Linked DNA regions of Arabidopsis thaliana. The protein of the gene in region 3 interacts with the protein of the main gene of each other region in a pairwise test. Each region holds a gene or a part of one and is shown on either strand. Other genes may lie near its edges. The genes, in order: TMT2, CAT9 and AT2G20780.

Evidence for each region.
Region 1: the proteins of AT2G20780 (region 3) and TMT2 interact in a protein complementation assay, tested with the Arabidopsis thaliana proteins (one large-scale study listed by BioGRID).
Region 2: the proteins of AT2G20780 (region 3) and CAT9 interact in a protein complementation assay, tested with the Arabidopsis thaliana proteins (one large-scale study listed by BioGRID).

Annotation. Positions count from the first base shown.
Region 1 is NC_003075.7:16,794,737-16,801,732, reverse strand, and holds TMT2 (tonoplast monosaccharide transporter2), read left to right. Parts: upstream 1-1,921; 5' UTR 1,922-2,661; coding exon 2,662-2,740; intron 2,741-2,888; coding exon 2,889-3,455; intron 3,456-3,537; coding exon 3,538-4,478; intron 4,479-4,574; coding exon 4,575-4,762; intron 4,763-4,856; coding exon 4,857-5,301; 3' UTR 5,302-5,509; coding exon of another isoform or gene 5,510-5,719; 3' UTR 5,720-5,785; coding exon of another isoform or gene 5,786-5,860; 3' UTR 5,861-5,950; downstream 5,951-6,996. Other genes in the region: AT4G35295 (homoserine kinase, putative / HSK), read right to left, coding at 5,510-5,719, 5,786-5,860, 6,350-6,400. UniProt on the Arabidopsis thaliana protein: Sugar proton-coupled antiporter which contributes to vacuolar sugar import (e.g. monosaccharides including glucose, sucrose and fructose), particularly during stress responses (e.g. in response to cold).
Region 2 is NC_003070.9:1,800,062-1,805,790, reverse strand, and holds CAT9 (cationic amino acid transporter 9), read left to right. Parts: upstream 1-1,790; 5' UTR 1,791-1,848; coding exon 1,849-2,098; exon of another isoform or gene 2,099-2,183; coding exon 2,184-2,593; intron 2,594-2,672; coding exon 2,673-2,849; intron 2,850-2,920; coding exon 2,921-3,145; intron 3,146-3,257; coding exon 3,258-3,434; intron 3,435-3,530; coding exon 3,531-3,767; coding exon of another isoform or gene 3,768-3,794; exon of another isoform or gene 3,795-4,116; coding exon 4,117-4,212; coding exon of another isoform or gene 4,213-4,230; exon of another isoform or gene 4,231-4,288; coding exon 4,289-4,426; 3' UTR 4,427-4,681; downstream 4,682-5,729. Other genes in the region: AT1G05950 (uncharacterized protein), read left to right, coding at 1-124, 207-422, 538-604, 685-839, 909-975, 1,067-1,218; AT1G05930 (B3 domain protein (DUF313)), read right to left, coding at 4,858-4,942, 5,502-5,729. UniProt on the Arabidopsis thaliana protein: Permease involved in the transport of the cationic amino acids.
Region 3 is NC_003071.7:8,946,323-8,951,388, forward strand, and holds AT2G20780 (Major facilitator superfamily protein), read right to left. Parts: upstream 3,108-5,066; 5' UTR 2,849-3,107; coding exon 2,635-2,848; coding exon of another isoform or gene 2,572-2,634; intron 2,541-2,571; coding exon 1,174-2,540; 3' UTR 920-1,173; downstream 1-919. Other genes in the region: GCL2 (GCR2-like 2), read left to right, coding at 1-274, 381-719; AT2G20784 (uncharacterized protein), read left to right, coding at 3,299-3,454; AT2G20790 (clathrin adaptor complexes medium subunit family protein), read right to left, coding at 3,840-3,905, 4,017-4,064, 4,148-4,204, 4,279-5,066. UniProt on the Arabidopsis thaliana protein: Plasma membrane sugar-proton symporter.

The DNA.
Region 1 (6,996 bases), on a different chromosome or scaffold from region 3:
CTTTTGTTTATCGTTTAAATTGTAATTGAAAAAAAAAACTAAAATTAGAATGTTGGTTTGTACAAAATCAAAATGCATTTCTGGTTTTACTAGTTACCGTTAATTGTAAAAAAATTTAAGTATTAAGCACGATGGTTTTATTCTCGTCGTATGAGAAGACTAATTTAAATACATGTGATCTACTTGTAAAAGAAGCAACCGTTCATTCAATCTCCTATCAGAAAGAATAGTAATCTCTTGAGATTTTTTCTTAAGATAAAGATATGCCAAATATTTAAACAGTATTATGGCGTCACTGACTATTATGACGTAAGAGATTGACTTTTCCATATATTGCAACTTTCTGGAGCCCCGCACATAATCCCTAATAAGTTTTACTTTTGGGCCTTGTTTATTCACTGATCCAGCCCAATGTTCAAATACAAAATTCAGACACCCCAAAGGCCGTATTATTGTATTGTTTTAGACTTTAGACCTTACAATAAGGCCTAAAATGATAACATATTACACATTTCAATTCCAGATAAAAAAAAGAACCGAAAATTTTAATTATAAACGCTATCAAATTGACATTTTCACAAGACTGAATCAAATTTGACACCTCCACGTACACAAGCAAAATTATATTTTGGGTTTTGTATCAATGTGCTGGCTGATTTTTTTTAGCAAAACTGTCCTGTAACATCTCTCCAACTTGGTTTGAATTCGTTTTAACATTAGTTTGGTGACAAACATAACGTTATTGAATTTTTCATTTTTCCGTAATAATCATTCTGATTTTTTTCTTTTCAAAATGTTGTTACTAGATGTTTCTTTCCCAAGAATAATATCTTAAATCAGTAATCACTACTACCAGTAAACATAAATGGTACGTTTCTCCTCATTCTACGGAATTTTTAAGAAGCAATGATGATGATTAATTGAGGATGTGGACAAGAATCTTTATATATTCGCATTCACATGCCATAACTTTCAAAGTCTATGAAAAAAGATTCTATTGCGTGTTTATATTCTGTGGTGTGTACTGTAGTTCCAAACATAACGCTTGTACTACGTTCATTTCCGGAAAATATCTAAGAAATATGGAGTCATAAATATTTATTAACCAATTAGATGTTTTTCCTATGTTCTAAATACATTTATGGTAATCTTTGCGGTCAAATATACGAACTTTAACAACGACGTTTAACAATATATCTTTTGTTTTATACATATCAAGTTTTGATATACGGACGATAGATATTTATTTTCAGAAAACCAGTAGTTGTCGTAGTCACATGGTTTGTTTTTCGTTGATCAAAATTTGTTAATGTTATTCATTTAGAATTAGAGACTGTATATCGAATTTGGTACTCGGTTCTAAAAAAAAAAAAAACTCAATATGATTTTTTATACATTCTTTTTCTTCCCTTTTAATCTGTAAGAAGAATAGTAAAGTGAAGAAGAAAAAACTATTCATTATATTGTAACATACGAATACGACTCACAATTAACTAAAGTTAAAGTGTCTCATTGTATTTGGACTTTGGACATTATTCTCCATTATTGCATTGTTTCTTTCTTTCTTGATTAATTATGTAAAGTTGAAATGATTTGAAGATGCTTTCCGGATGTAAACAAACTAAACTTTACTTTACCAATAACTTTGTTTTCAGAAAACTCAGATATTTATCTCTAGTTTCTCGTATAAGTCCCAATGAATCTAAGATTTCAAAAACCAATCCTATATTTGTTTCATATTTACAAAAAAACACCAAATATTTTTCCCCAATTATGCCGACATTAAACTCATCTTTTTACATACAAAATCCCAAATTAATATCCGTTTTTACCTTTACTTCATGAAAGCGAAGATGGTAAAAAGCAGAAACATTTCGAGATATTAATTTGATTGTATAGGCCCGTGAATAAACTCGTGGACCCAAATCGAAAAGATAACAAAATTTAAAGATGTACTTAATTCTCTGAAAAAATTCTGTACGCAAACACGAGAAAGAGAAGAGAGACATACACACACAATACACATACGTGGTTTGAGAGGACAGGAGCAAAACGGCAGGTGTCACTAATCCCATAGGCTTCTCTCTCTGTTCACTGTCCTTCCGCACAAAAAAAAAAAGTATTCATTTTTATATTCTCACGGTTACTTCGAAATCTAGCTTTCGTTTTCTTTTTTTTTGATTTAAACCAAAAGGGTAAACAATGCTTTATGATTGCTTAGTGACGCCATTGAAGCAGCGGCTCACTGATAGTGGCTTCTTCTGCCTCCAATTCCAAGTTGCTAACCCTAGTTTTCATCTCTCTCTCTGTATATCATATTCTCTCGTACTTTCTTACTTTCTCTTCTACTTGGTAGAGATAAAAAGTAGTCAAATTTTATTCAAAGTTTTGATTTTGACATCTGAGGTTTCACCTCTGTTTTTTTTTTCTAGAACTCCTTTGGGTATGTGTCTTTTACGTCACTAAAGGGTTTGTTATAGTCTTAGGTCATGCTTTTTGGTGTTATCTCTCTCTGTTTTATCTTTTAGCTCACCAAGTGATTGTGTCTGATTTTCGAATTTTCAGGTGGATTTTGTTTCACTCACTCATCGTCGTTGATCAGTGACTCTGTTTTTGCGAAATTCTCTTCAGATTTCTTGATAAAAGATAGAAGACGGAATTATGAGTGGAGCTGTGCTTGTTGCTATTGCTGCTGCTGTTGGCAACTTGTTACAAGGATGGGATAACGCAACTATTGCAGGTGATTGATTATCTTCTGTATCCATAATTCTGTTTATGAAATTTAGGATCGATAAAGTCAGGATTTTTATGGATACAATTCACAGATCTTTTAGCTTATCTCTTTTGCTTGTGTGATGGATTTTAAGTTTTCTTTGGGTACTCTGCAGGAGCTGTGTTGTACATAAAAAAGGAGTTTAATTTGGAGAGTAATCCATCAGTGGAAGGTCTAATTGTGGCGATGTCACTTATTGGTGCTACTCTGATTACAACATGCTCTGGAGGGGTAGCTGATTGGCTTGGTCGCCGTCCCATGCTAATATTGTCCTCAATTCTCTACTTTGTTGGTTCTCTAGTAATGCTATGGTCTCCGAATGTTTATGTGTTGCTCTTAGGAAGGTTGTTAGATGGATTTGGGGTTGGTCTTGTGGTCACACTTGTTCCTATTTATATATCTGAGACTGCACCACCTGAGATTAGGGGACTGTTGAATACGCTACCGCAGTTCACTGGCTCTGGAGGGATGTTCTTATCTTACTGTATGGTTTTCGGAATGTCGTTGATGCCATCACCTAGCTGGAGATTGATGCTTGGTGTCCTTTTCATCCCTTCCCTTGTCTTTTTCTTCCTCACGGTCTTCTTCTTGCCCGAGTCCCCAAGGTGGCTCGTGAGCAAAGGTCGAATGCTTGAAGCAAAGCGGGTTCTTCAGAGACTGCGTGGTCGCGAAGATGTGTCTGGTTAGTCTTAAATCGTTCTGACTCTAATTCTTTCAATGAAACCAATCTTTTCTATTGAATGTTCTTATGTGGCAATGTATAGGTGAGATGGCTTTGTTGGTTGAGGGTCTTGGAATTGGAGGTGAAACAACCATAGAGGAATATATAATTGGTCCCGCGGATGAAGTTACTGATGATCATGATATAGCTGTGGATAAGGATCAAATTAAGTTATATGGTGCAGAAGAAGGGCTGAGTTGGGTTGCTAGGCCAGTCAAAGGAGGAAGCACTATGAGTGTTTTGTCTCGCCATGGAAGTACAATGAGCAGGAGGCAAGGCTCATTGATTGATCCTCTTGTCACACTGTTTGGGAGCGTTCACGAGAAGATGCCGGACACTGGAAGCATGAGGAGTGCCTTGTTCCCACATTTTGGGAGTATGTTCAGTGTTGGAGGGAATCAACCAAGACATGAAGATTGGGATGAAGAGAATCTTGTTGGAGAAGGTGAGGATTATCCATCCGACCATGGAGATGATTCTGAAGATGATCTTCATTCTCCGTTGATCTCACGTCAAACGACAAGCATGGAGAAAGACATGCCTCACACTGCTCATGGAACTCTTTCTACCTTCAGACATGGAAGTCAAGTGCAGGGAGCTCAAGGGGAAGGAGCGGGTAGTATGGGGATTGGAGGTGGATGGCAAGTGGCATGGAAATGGACGGAAAGAGAAGATGAATCGGGACAGAAAGAAGGTGGGTTTAAACGGATATACTTGCATCAAGAAGGTTTCCCAGGATCTCGACGTGGCTCAATTGTTTCATTGCCTGGTGGTGATGGAACCGGTGAGGCAGATTTTGTACAAGCGTCTGCTTTGGTTAGCCAACCAGCTCTTTATTCCAAAGACCTTCTCAAAGAACATACAATTGGTCCTGCTATGGTACATCCATCCGAAACAACTAAAGGGTCAATTTGGCATGATCTTCATGATCCTGGAGTCAAGCGTGCATTAGTCGTAGGAGTTGGACTTCAAATACTTCAGCAGGTAGTCTAGATAGCCACATCAAAATTAGTGAATCACAGAAGAAATAATGCGGTTTATGCTAATTCTATGTTTTCCTGCTTCCTCTTGGAAATGCAGTTCTCAGGCATCAACGGAGTTCTTTACTACACACCGCAAATCCTTGAGCAGGCGGGTGTCGGGATCCTACTATCGAACATGGGGATTAGTTCTTCCTCAGCATCCTTACTTATAAGTGCATTGACAACCTTTGTGATGTTACCTGCAATAGCTGTTGCAATGAGGCTCATGGATCTTTCTGGTCGAAGGTGATTAAAACTTAAATTTCCTTTGTTCTTACAATACACATAAACGAAACAAGCTAAAATGCGTTATGAAATGTCTTTTATTTTATATTTGCAGGACCTTGCTTCTCACCACGATACCAATCCTGATAGCATCTCTATTGGTTTTAGTAATCTCAAATCTTGTTCACATGAACAGCATTGTGCACGCGGTCTTATCAACCGTAAGCGTTGTGCTCTACTTCTGCTTCTTCGTGATGGGTTTCGGTCCTGCTCCAAACATCCTCTGTTCAGAGATTTTTCCAACTCGAGTCCGCGGAATCTGCATCGCCATCTGCGCACTCACCTTCTGGATCTGTGACATAATCGTCACTTACAGTCTCCCCGTGCTGCTCAAATCCATTGGACTAGCTGGTGTGTTTGGAATGTACGCAATCGTATGTTGCATTTCATGGGTCTTTGTGTTCATTAAAGTCCCGGAAACTAAAGGCATGCCACTTGAAGTCATCACAGAGTTCTTTTCTGTTGGAGCTAGACAAGCTGAAGCTGCTAAAAACGAGTGAGAAACTGAAAGACTTGTTGAGATAAAAAGTTTGTGTAATATTCATGTGGATTTGTTGTTGTCTTTTTACTTTGTGCAGTAATAATCATCTCTCTCTGTTTCGTCTTCTTCATGTGGGGAGAAAAAAAAGTTTCAAACTTTCAGTTACGAATCTCTTTATTACCATTTACCATTTGCAGAATCCATAGAACAAATCCGTAAACTTTCAATTACATACTTTCGATAAGTCTAGCTCCGACTTTATCAAGTTTCTTCACAGAAGCAGTAGATTTCAAGTTTCCGATCTTCAAGAACACTTGGACCATTTTCTCTCCGATCTCGTAACCTTTCTCCGCCGTGTCAATCACTGCAACCGCAGTTATGGTGCGACCAAATGCTCCAGCTTCTTTCCCATTCAAAGCAGAAAGTGATTTATTCACCTATAATTCTTGAGCAATTCAGCGTCTTTCCTCGCTTCTTCTCCTTTCATTGCTCAAACTCTAAACCTTGTAGCCTCGAGCTCTGTGATTTGTAGCCTCGAGCTCTGTTTCTGCAATCACACAAGCTGCTCTATGGTTTGGCTACAATCAGTCGCTACACGTTTCAAAGCTAATGCCAAATATATCATCCATTGTTTTCTTGCGAATCTTGGCTAATGAGGGCACGTGCGAGACTCTCATTGCTCTAAGCTTTTTAAGTGGAAAAAGGAAACAATCCAAAATTTGTTTTAGAAAAGGAAATAACAAAGAAAAAGGAAACAACAAAGAGCCGTTAAGAAAAAAGGAAACTTTGAATCCCAAACACAAACGATGTGTCTATAAATTGAGGAACCCTTCTCAGAGATAGAAAATTCTTAAGTGAGAGAGAGAGAGATGAAATTACATACGCAATTGCTCTGATTTTCACCATTCTCTTCTTCGATTCCTGTTTCCTTCGCTTCTAATTCAACTCTGATTCTTCTTCTTCCTCCTTTGTCTCTCGTTAATGGCGTTACGATATCTTCTCTCAGTCTCCGTCGTCGGAAGTTTTCTACTTTTGTTTGAATTCAAAGGATTCCGGATTTTGTTTACCCTGTCTTCAATGCAATGGTTCATCGGAAGATTTTGCGTTTTCTGGTTCATGATTCATCGGATGATCGGAGGCTTTTGGGTTTATCCGGTTCATGATTCATCGGATGATCGGCGACTTTTGGGTTTCTCCGGTTCATGATTCATCGGATGATCGGAGGCTTTTGGTTTATCAGTCACGGACACGCACACGGGGAAGACGGACATGGCGGTGGACGAAAGAGGCTTGGACTGCAAATCTCATTTTCAGCCCATATAATACTCAGAAGCCCATCAACAAATTGAGGTTCATTTCCTATCCCTTCTTATTTACTTTTTTTTTTTCCTCCCAAAAATCGATTTTCTCACGGATTTTTAATTTGCATAACGATGATATGAAAACTAACTGGATTTTGGATACAGTCTTGATCGTTAGCGATTCCAAATATTCAACTTGTTTTCATATCATTTTTATGTAGATATATTATCCAAGTTTTTTATTCGGATTTTTAAAAGTTTTAAACGTTTTTTTGTTTTGTTTTGTTTTGATACTAAATTTACATAAAGATATATGAAACTAACCGGATTTTGGATCCAGCCTCGGTCGTTAGCGATTCCAAATATTCAACTTGTTTTCATTTTTTTTATGTAGATTTTAGTATCCAAGTTTT
Region 2 (5,729 bases), on a different chromosome or scaffold from region 3:
GAGTGGTGCGAAGGAACCTAATGTTCACTCGGAGACAGTAGTTGCGTTGAAGGCTAAGAATGTAGGTAATGAAATGAGCCCTTGTAAGGATAACTATTCGAATGGAGAGAAAGGTGGTTTCGAGGTGAAATCTGAAATCTACACTAACAATTATATATTCTCAATTCAATCTTCAAGTATCCTTTATCACCCTTTTGTAAATGCAGGTTGCGTCTGACCCAAAGGAACTTAAAGAAAGAGGTCTCCAGAGGAAGAAAGCTGTTCCTGACAGACTTAATAGCATTCATAAGCTTAATTCAACTCCTGCTTCTGCTCATAACTCTAATCCAAATCTTGAGGAGCTACAGACGTCTCTTCTTTCTAAAGCAACATCACTATCCGAAACTGCATTGAAAGTTCTTCTTTGCAAACGAGATAAACTGGTAATAACTGTAGAATTTGATCAAAGATACACAACACAGCAAAAAAACTGATTGGCAATAGCATATATATCCTTATTTTATGATTAAGAGCTGCTCTCTTTTTCTCTGGCTGCAGACTCGTCAACAGAGGAACATAGAAGACGAGATTGCTAAATGTGATAAATGCATCCAGAACATCAAAGGTATGTATATATACATATACTTTTCCTTTCTGCACAGCTTTGTTTTTACATGAATCTTAGTGATCTCGTGGGTGTTATAGGTGATTGGGAGCTGCAATTAGAAACAGTACTCGAGTGCTGTAACGAGACATACCCGAGGCGTAACCTTCAAGAATCTCTTGACAAGTCAGCATGCCAAAGCAACAAGAGGCTGAAGCTCAGTGAAACTCTTCCTTCTACTAAAAGTCTGTGTCAGGTTAGTTTATGGTTACTTTAATCATTTCTTGTTCAAAGAATTAAGATTCATTGCCCCTATTTATTGCAGAGACTCGATGATATCTGTCTCATGAATAACTGGGTACTACCAAACTATCGTGTGGCTCCATCAGATGGTAAAGTTTTGAGATCATTTGCCAAACTCGTAGTTCAGCTCCATTACTCCCTTCAGATTTGCATGTTGATGTTGATGCTTTGTTCAAAAAGGTGGATATGAAGCTGAAGTAAGAATCACGGGGAATCATGTCGCATGTACAATACATGGAGAGGAAAAGTCTGATGCTGAGGAAGCTAGGGAATCTGCGGCAGCTTGCTTGCTAACAAAGTTACAACACGACACAGCAGCCAACTTATCATGATTATGTGAGATTCAAGAACAACTCAGAAACCAAACTAACTTCCAGCATGAGTAGAAAACAACCCTGATTTTGATATGTATGGCCATTTTGGACGAATAGCAAGATTTGTACAAAACTCCATCCTCTGGTTGAGATTTTGAGATATATTACAAGAAGTCAAAGGTATTAACTGATGCAGAAACTAAAGTAGAACCAGAATCATGTTAAAAACCTAATCCTAAGCCTCCTGCATTTAAAACAATCCTAGAAACTCAAAAACCCAACAAAGTGCTAAAGAGGGATGAAAGAAATCCTAGTAAAAAAAAACCCTAATATTGTTAACTAGACCAAAAACCTCAACAATGGCCTGAAAGATTAGACCAATATGAATCTCAACAGACACAAGAAACTTGTCAACAACGAAAATAGGAGCTATACTGTCTCATGGCAAAACAGAGGACTCCATCGCACCTAAAGGCCCAAAGACAGATGTCGTCGCGAGCTTTCAGTTCATTAGAGGGTTATTGGGTTTAAGTGGTCTCTGTTGGGCCCAATGGTTGGCCCAATATTTATTGATTTGGATTCTGATTATCCCGGGGGTGATTTCAGTCATCGTCTCGATCAATCTTCAACTCTCAAATTGAAGTTTCCATGGGAGGCCACGAAGGTTTCAGCAACCAACGCCTCTCCTCCGCCACATGGTTCTCTCATTTCCGTGCTTCAGCTCTCCGATCTAAATCACTGCCCCCTCCGTCCTCGCAGACTGCCGTTCGCTCCACCTCTGGCGACTCTCTGGTTCGTCGCCTCGGCCTTTTCGACCTCATACTGTTGGGCGTCGGCGCTTCCATCGGCGCCGGTGTCTTCGTCGTCACCGGAACCGTCGCTCGCGATGCTGGACCTGGTCAGTTGAATGAATTACTTTTTCTCACCACCTCCTTGATTCGTTCAGAATCGCTTAGTGATTATTGCTGCCGTTGCGTGCCTAGGAGTCACAATCAGCTTCTTGCTAGCTGGAGCATCGTGTGTGTTGAACGCTCTCTGTTATGCTGAACTTTCATCTCGTTTCCCTGCTGTTGTTGGTGGAGCTTACATGTACTCTTACTCAGCTTTCAATGAGATCACAGCTTTTCTTGTTTTCGTTCAACTCATGCTTGACTATCATATTGGCGCCGCTAGTATCTCCCGTAGCTTGGCCAGCTATGCTGTTGCTCTTCTTGAGCTTTTTCCAGCCCTCAAGGGCTCTATTCCTCTCTGGATGGGAAGCGGCAAAGAGCTCTTGGGAGGGCTTCTCTCTTTGAATATTTTGGCTCCCATTTTACTTGCTCTCTTGACCCTTGTTCTATGCCAAGGTGTGCGAGAATCTTCCGCTGTCAACTCCGTTATGACTGCTACTAAGGTAAGCTTCTTTCCTTTTAACCTTCTCTTCTTATCTTTACCAAAAAAAACTCTTCTTCACTATATTGTTTCTTCTGTAGGTCGTGATCGTTCTCGTTGTGATTTGTGCCGGTGCTTTTGAAATTGATGTAGCAAATTGGTCTCCTTTTGCGCCTAATGGTTTTAAAGCAGTTCTCACTGGAGCTACTGTTGTCTTCTTTTCATATGTTGGATTTGATGCAGTTGCTAATTCTGCTGAAGAATCGAAGAACCCTCAGGTCTGCCTATATATATGTTGAATGTACATACTATCTACAAAGTCTCTTATGTCTGTTTAATTCTTGTTCAGCGCGATTTGCCAATCGGAATTATGGGGAGCCTTCTGGTTTGTATCTCGCTGTATATTGGCGTATGTTTGGTGCTCACCGGGATGGTCCCTTTTAGCCTCCTCAGCGAAGATGCTCCTTTAGCTGAAGCCTTTTCATCAAAGGGTATGAAGTTCGTCTCAATCTTAATCAGTATTGGTGCTGTTGCTGGACTCACAACTACTCTGCTTGTTGGTCTTTATGTTCAGGTGATAATATATATATATGTATTTCTTTTGTAATTTCTTTTATTATGTACTTGTATATTATGCAAACCAAGGTAACACTCTTGAGTAATCATATGATATTTCGGATAAACAGTCCAGGTTATATCTGGGACTTGGAAGGGATGGTCTATTGCCTTCAATCTTTTCCAGAATACACCCAACTCTTCATACACCTCTTCATTCTCAAATCTGGTGCGGCATTGTAGCTGGCGTTTTAGCTGGCATATTTAATGTACATAGTCTTTCCCATATTCTGTCTGTTGGTACATTGGTACGTCAAGGTCTTAATTTTAAATATCTCTTTGCTTTTCTTATTGATACTTATACTTTCCAGTTTAACATTATTTTCGGTGTTCCATTTCTTCAGACTGGGTATTCAGTTGTTGCGGCTTGTGTTGTGGCATTGAGACTGAATGATAAAAAAGATAGAGAGTCGTCCAATAGATGGACATCAAGTTGGCAGGAAGGCGTCATTTGCCTTGTTATAATTGCATGCAGTGGTTTTGGTGCTGGCGTATTTTACCGTTTCAGTGCTTCAGTTATATTTATTCTCCTCTCAGTTGGTGTGGCAGTTGTTGCTTCAGCAGTTCTTCATTATCGCCAAGTAAGTAGCCTTAAGTATAAGCCTTAATTCCATAGCACACTCTTCTTAATTTCATAGCGCCAAAAAAAATAAAATAAAAAAACCAAGTTTCACCCCTGTTAAAATGCTAGATACTAAGTCTTTTACTGATACAGCATAAAATAGAGACCACCACTAGCATGTTCTGGCACTTAGAACTCTACAGTGATACTATGAAAGTCTGTGACTATTGAAGTCTTTGCATTCTTGGTTTAGAGGAGAAGTTTGTTAACATCAATTAGGAAATATACCCTCATGGTTGTCTCCACAAATCAGGCAAATGCCTTGCTAGCTATGCTTCATGTTAAACCCCTCAGCTTTTCGCTTCCAGGCTTATGCTCTGCCTCTAGGTTCTGGGTTTAGCTGTCCTGGTGTACCCATTGTGCCATCCGTTTGCATTTTCTTCAACATCTTCTTATTTGCTCAGGTACACGCTAAGAACTAACTTTATACTAATTTCACATACCATATGATCTACCTTTGATTTTTCCGCTACTGTGCAGTTGCATTATGAAGCATGGATAAGATTTGTTGTTGTCAGTGTGCTTGCAACTGCCGTTTATGCCTTGTATGGGCAGTACCACGCAGATCCGAGCATGTTGGATTATCAGAGGGCACCTGAAACTGAAAGCGACGCTTAGTAATGCTACATTATAGTTGTGTTACTTAAAGCCATTTGTAGAGTTGATAGCAAGTTTCTGCGTTTCGTGAGAGACATACTGTATGTCACATACATATTCAGGTCGAGTTTAAGGATTGGATGGGATAAGGCAGTTAAACATTATTGTTGTAAAGAAGTTAATAAAAGTATGCTTGTGCATTTCAACTAAAGCCTTGAATGACTGAAAATGGCTTTTGTGCTACCAAATAATCCCAGAAGCTAGCAATGTTCACATAAACATACTCAATGTTAGAGTTATTCAACGGATCATAGTATAGAATCAGAAACAACAAGCTTACTAATAACAGACATCCAAACCCTCTAGCATTGTAGTAAGACCAAAACCCTCTAGAATTGCCCCAACTTAGCCGGCTGTACAAATGAAGATCAATCTCCACAGAGACAAGAAGCTTAGCAGAGACGGCGAGCATTGGAAGAGCTACTCTGTCTCAATGTAAGAGGAGGAACAAGAGCAAAACAGAGGATTCCACGCCACCTGAAAGACCAAAGACTGATGTCTTTCTGATTTACCCCTCTCGGTGACACCACACGCCTCTTGGGGCTCGTGGTCTCCCGTTAGACACAAAGATGGAGTCTTCTTGGACTCGGCAATGTAGTTTTGAAGAAGGTTAAAGAAAAAGGCGATGAAGAAGAAGTGGAAGCCCCATTAAGATTTTGTTGTGAATGAAAACTGAAAAGAGTGACTTTGTTGTTTTATATAGTTCGTTAATCCGTTCTGATTTACTTCGTTTTCCTCTTATAATAACTCTAAAGGTATAATCTTTTCTTTTTCTTTTCTTGAAAGCATTATTTAGAGAGTGTATTGTATTAAGCATGAAACAGAGACTGTGCTAAGCCTCCTGCATTTTAAACAATCCTAGAAACTCAAAAACCCGACAAAGTGTTAAAAGAGAGATGAAAGAAATCCTAGTAAAAAATAAAAACCCTAATTTTGTTAACTAGACCAAAAACCTCAAGAATGGCCTGAAAGATTAGACCAATGTGAATCTCAACAGACACAAGAAACTTGTCAATGACGAAAATAGGAGCTATACTGCCTCATGGCAAAACAGAGGACTCCATCGCACCTAAACGCCCAAAGACAGATGTCGTCGCCAGCTTTCAATTTATTAGCCTTAACAACGTCGTTCCAGCCACAACTCAGAAAGTAATTCTGGCCCCATCTCTTCAAAATCACACTCCACTTTTGAGACCTTTGATCCACGAGAATGGCTCCAACTCCCATCGTCTCATCATTGTAGGTATCTTCTTCTAGGATACTC
Region 3 (5,066 bases):
TAAGAAAGGAAGCTCACCGCTTATGTTTGAATGGTATGGCAAAAGGTACTGGGGTGCAGCACATGGACTTGCTGGTATTATGCACGTATTGATGGATGTTCAGCTGAAGCCTGACGAGGCAGAAGATGTGAAGGGAACCCTTAAGTATATGATCAAGAATCGGTTTCCAAGTGGAAATTACCCTGCTAGTGAAGAGGATAAGAAGAAAGATATTCTTGTGCATTGGTGTCATGGAGCCCCTGGGATTGCCCTCACACTTGGGAAGGCGGCTGAGGTGATGGTGCCTTTTTAGTCGAAATCTTTGTGTGTGTGTTGTTTTATTTGCTTTCAATACATTATTGAGAGAGAGTTGATCTCTGGGAAATGAAAACAAAACTCAGGTTTTTGGGGAGAGAGAGTTTCTGGAAGCGAGTGCAGCTGCAGCAGAGGTGGTTTGGAACCGTGGATTGCTCAAGCGCGTGGGGATCTGTCATGGAATAAGTGGGAACGCATATGTTTTTCTTGCGCTTTACAGAGCTACGGGAAGGAGTGAGTATCTATACCGTGCAAAAGCCTTTGCCAGTTTCCTGCTTGATAGAGGCCCCAAGTTACTCTCAAAAGGAGAAATGCATGGAGGTGATAGTCCTTATTCCTTGTTTGAAGGCGTTGCAGGCATGGCCTATCTCTTCCTTGACATGGTCGACCCATCTGAAGCCAGGTTCCCAGGTTACGAGCTTTAAACTTCTTGATCGATAACAATCTCCGTCCATCAAATCCTTCTCTCTTGTTATGGAGGATGCACAAGGTAAGAGAGGGTGTGAGTGTATGTGTGTTTAGTACTAGCAAAATCTTCTTGTTGTTTGATGGTGAATAAGTTTGAGTTGATATATAGCCGAACTGTCCGGAGAGCCTGTAACTTTATGAGTGTTAGAAGGAGAGTGTGAAACATGAAGTGAACACAAAGGTTCTGTCATTTCTGTATATATTGTCTTTTGAGTTGAGTATCACATGGTTTCTTCTTGAAACAAGGAACAAAAAAACAGAGCAGTTGGTTTCTTTGGAATATGCACTGGGTCTATACCATCATCAAACGCACTTACAAAATCTATCTTACGTTCTTTGGATCTAATGCAAGAACAGAACACCATAAGAGTATCTTTTCACTTCTGCCTCTTCTACTTTAACATGATCAATTCAAAACTCCTGTTCCTTGCGCACAAGACGCTCAGCATCTCCAAGCTCAACTTCACCGTCTTTTCTTTCCAGCCCACCCTGAAACATCAACTCTATCTGCTCCAGTGACTTCCCGCTTGTCTCGGGGACTAGCACATACACGAAGATAACTGAGAGTGCAGACACGAGGGAGAAAACGAAGAAGGTTCCTCCAACAGTGATGGCACGTGACACAGAGAGGAAGGACATGGCCACCAGACCGCTGCACACCCTGTTCCCAACCGCCCCAAGCGCAGATGCCTGGGCTCTTAATCGTAATGGAAAGATCTCTGATGTCAAGACCCAGCAAACAGGTCCCATTCCTATGGAGAAGAAGGCAACGTTTCCACAAACAAAGAGAAGCGCCAAGGTTATCCCAAGCGTTCCTTGGCCGAGGAATGTGAGCGTAAAGCTTAGACAAAAGAGACACAGAGTCATTCCTATTGTGCTCACATAAAGCAGCGGTTTCCGGCCAACACTATCAATCAGGAAGGTGGCAAATAGTATGAACACTGTTTTCGTGACACCAACAGCGACAGTTGCAGCGAGCAGTTTGGTCTCGTCTTGTATCCCAGCCTCTTTCAGGATCTCTGGACTATAGTAGACTGTGGCGTCAATTCCTGTGATCTGCTGGAAACACTGGATTCCAAATCCAACAATCAGCATTTTCCGTACAACAGGAGATGGGCTAAGAAGCTCACGCCACACGGGCCTGTCCTCGCTGCCTTCTGTATGTGCAGCCGCCAGTTGTATCTCTGCAAGCCGCTCTTCCGCTTCGTCATCTCGCTCATTCGTTTTCATGAGCACCTCTCGTGCACTGTCCACTCGGCCTTTCATCACCAGCCACCTCGGCGACTCAGGGATCACACACAGCGCAAATCCTATGAACACCGAAGGAAGAATCCCAACTGCAAGCATGATCCTCCAGCTGATATGCACGGAAAGCCCCGAGAAAGCGTAGTTCGAAACATAGCCCAGCAAGATCCCTAGATTTATGAAGATCTCAGGGAACGAAGTGAAAAATCCTCTAGCTACGGTGGGGGATATCTCGGCGATGTAGACAGGAGCGATCATGACACCAAGCCCAATCCCAATGCCGGCTAAAGTTCTCCCTATCATCAAAACCTCGAAAGACGGAGCGACAGCCATCACGGCAGCACCAGTCTGGAAGACGAGAGCAGCCAAGGCCATGGTCCATTTTCTACCGATAGAGTCAGAGGTTCTGCCGCCGGCTAAGCTGCCAAAGAGTGAGATGATGCTAAGGCTACCAATGAGCACTTCCGTCTGCACCTCCGTTATTTTGAGATCCTGCTGTATGAACAACACCGCACCGCTCATTACCCCAACATCTGACAAATACCAAAAACAGAGCACACATACCTTTTTGTAAGTCAACAAAGTAAAGAAGAAGAAGAAGAATCCGATTATATAAGTAAAACCGACCGTAGCCGAGAAGAACATTGTTCAAGGATGCAAAAAAGGCACAAGCCATAACGTATTTTCTGGTTCTACTGTTTCTAGCCTCTGCTTCACGATGATTCTGCGATTCCTCCGCGTCGGAGTCCATTCTCTGATACTTATTCTTCTTATTTCCGACAGAGACCGCCGGAAAACCCGAGCCACCGCCATTACCAACCTCCGGAAGATTCTTCATCATCTCCCTCCGCCGAGGCTTCAGACAGCAGACTCAGGTGGTGTCTGTTTTCGGAAAAAAAGAGAATTCAGACAACGACTTGAGGAAGAAAGTCGTAGATCTCGGAAGAAGGGCTTTAGATGACCAGATCTGAACCGGAGAGACTTCTTAGAAATCTCATCGTCTCTATTTGACCAAATTGGTGGAATTTTCTAATGAGGTAATCCAATTTTCAAAAGACAACTTGACTCCTTCCATTAACATTACGTTTCAAGAAATAGGATTTTTTTTCTTTTCTTAAAGCGTAAAAAAAGTTGGAAAGATATTTAAGAACTTATTAAATTAAGATAGATTAGAGTTTTCAAGGTAATAACAGCTCATCTGTTAGCTTAGCACACACTCTTAAAAGGCATGAAAACATTTATTGAAAACTAAATAAATCAGGGTTTCGAGTTTGGACAGTTAACCTTTATTATGAAAAAAATGGAATTAACCTCCAATGGCAGCTTGCTCCCTATGAATGAGATCTGTCGGTGGTTATTCCAAGCTCATTGGAACTACAGAGACAGTGTCATTGACGTGGCAACAACAATCTTTAAATTGATTGATATTTTTCTTCTAATTTTGTAATTTCATAAAATACAGACCTCATATTGCTGCAAACCTTGGATTATAATCTCCTTTATGAGCTGGATATATACTATATCTAGATAGCATTCTCTATATAGAGCAATTTCTTTCTTAGGCTTGTAGACTAATTATGAAACAGTGGCAACTTCATGAACACAACCACCTTACGAGTTTTATTATCACATGTTCCATTCCAGACAGATTTGCAACTAAAACAACATTCATCTTTCTTTATCTCTCAAGAAACAACAATAATGTACAGATACACTTCCGCTGTAAAAATCAAACTGCTCATTCATACGTTTAATGCTTTCAAACTCAAACAAATAAATCACTTCCTTGGGATGGGAAAATACAATACCAGTGAGGCTGCGACTTGGGGAAATCACACGACGGCTGCTGATGGAGCTTTCCCCAATGTGTTCCACAATATATAATCCCCTGAAGTCACCTGTTTACGCACATATCATGTAGAGCGCCTTTAGAGTTTTATCCAATCCGGTTCAAACGTTTCCTGTGCACTTCAATATTTATACACTATATATTGTTGGCAGTGTCTTACCTGAGCAGAAAACTCAACCGGTGACTTTGTGGTTGGGTAGATATTGACCTAGTAAAACAAAAGGAGGCCATAATAAGTCGATAATATGGGCTAACACTGTTAACTAATCATTGCAAGTTGCGAAAGCTTACTGATTTTGTGTCGATTGACATTCGAGATACAGATGCCCCGACAATCTTGAACGAGACCTGTAAACCAGAAGATAGATTTGAACAACAACCAAGTCCAAAAGATTTCAAAAGGAAGCCAAAGACATACATACCTTGGCATAGTCATAGGCTTGCCAGCAGAACGGTTCCTCCAACTCAGCTGCTGGGAGATCCTTGTTCATTTTCTGCACCAAGAAGTCCTCCACGTTCACCACATTCTCAGCGCTCTCATCCTCACTCTCTTCATCATCCCCATCCCCTTTTCTTCTGCTCTGCAATGGACTAAACTTGATTGTCCCAGGGAAAGTTGCCTCAAGGCTTTTCCCAGAAAGACTACGTCCGCTGCCCAGAATCCTCCACTCAACAGAGTGTTCTGTGGTTAAAACAGTCCCAGCTGACGGAGTCCCATCAAATGCCACTATCCGTCTCCGTGGAAAGGGCATAGTAATAGTGCAAAATTCCATTGACAGAGGAGCCTTGTAACCTTCCATGAGGTGCACCTTGAAGAGGAATGCACCCTCGTCTTCTGAAACCATTGATAGCTGATAGAACCCTTTCACTGGTGGTCCGAGTCCACAACCTGCCTGGTATCGCATGAGAACAAAGTTACCCAAGGGAGGCTGGAAAACAATGTTCTGCTTGTCAATCCCATGTGCTGGAACTTGGGCACATGGATGGAAAGATATAGCTTCGATATGGGCTGTACTCAGCCCTGCTAGAGGAAACGACACATCAGGCAGCCCTTCTAGTTCTGCCCGACAGTTTATCTGTCCCGCAACAGATACATTATCAGGAATCTCATCGCGGTCGTACATTGCAGCGCTAACGGTCTCATGAATTGTGAACAATAGCCTTTGCTTTCCTTTGTACAGGTATGGCTTCCATGCTGGTTGCTTAAGTT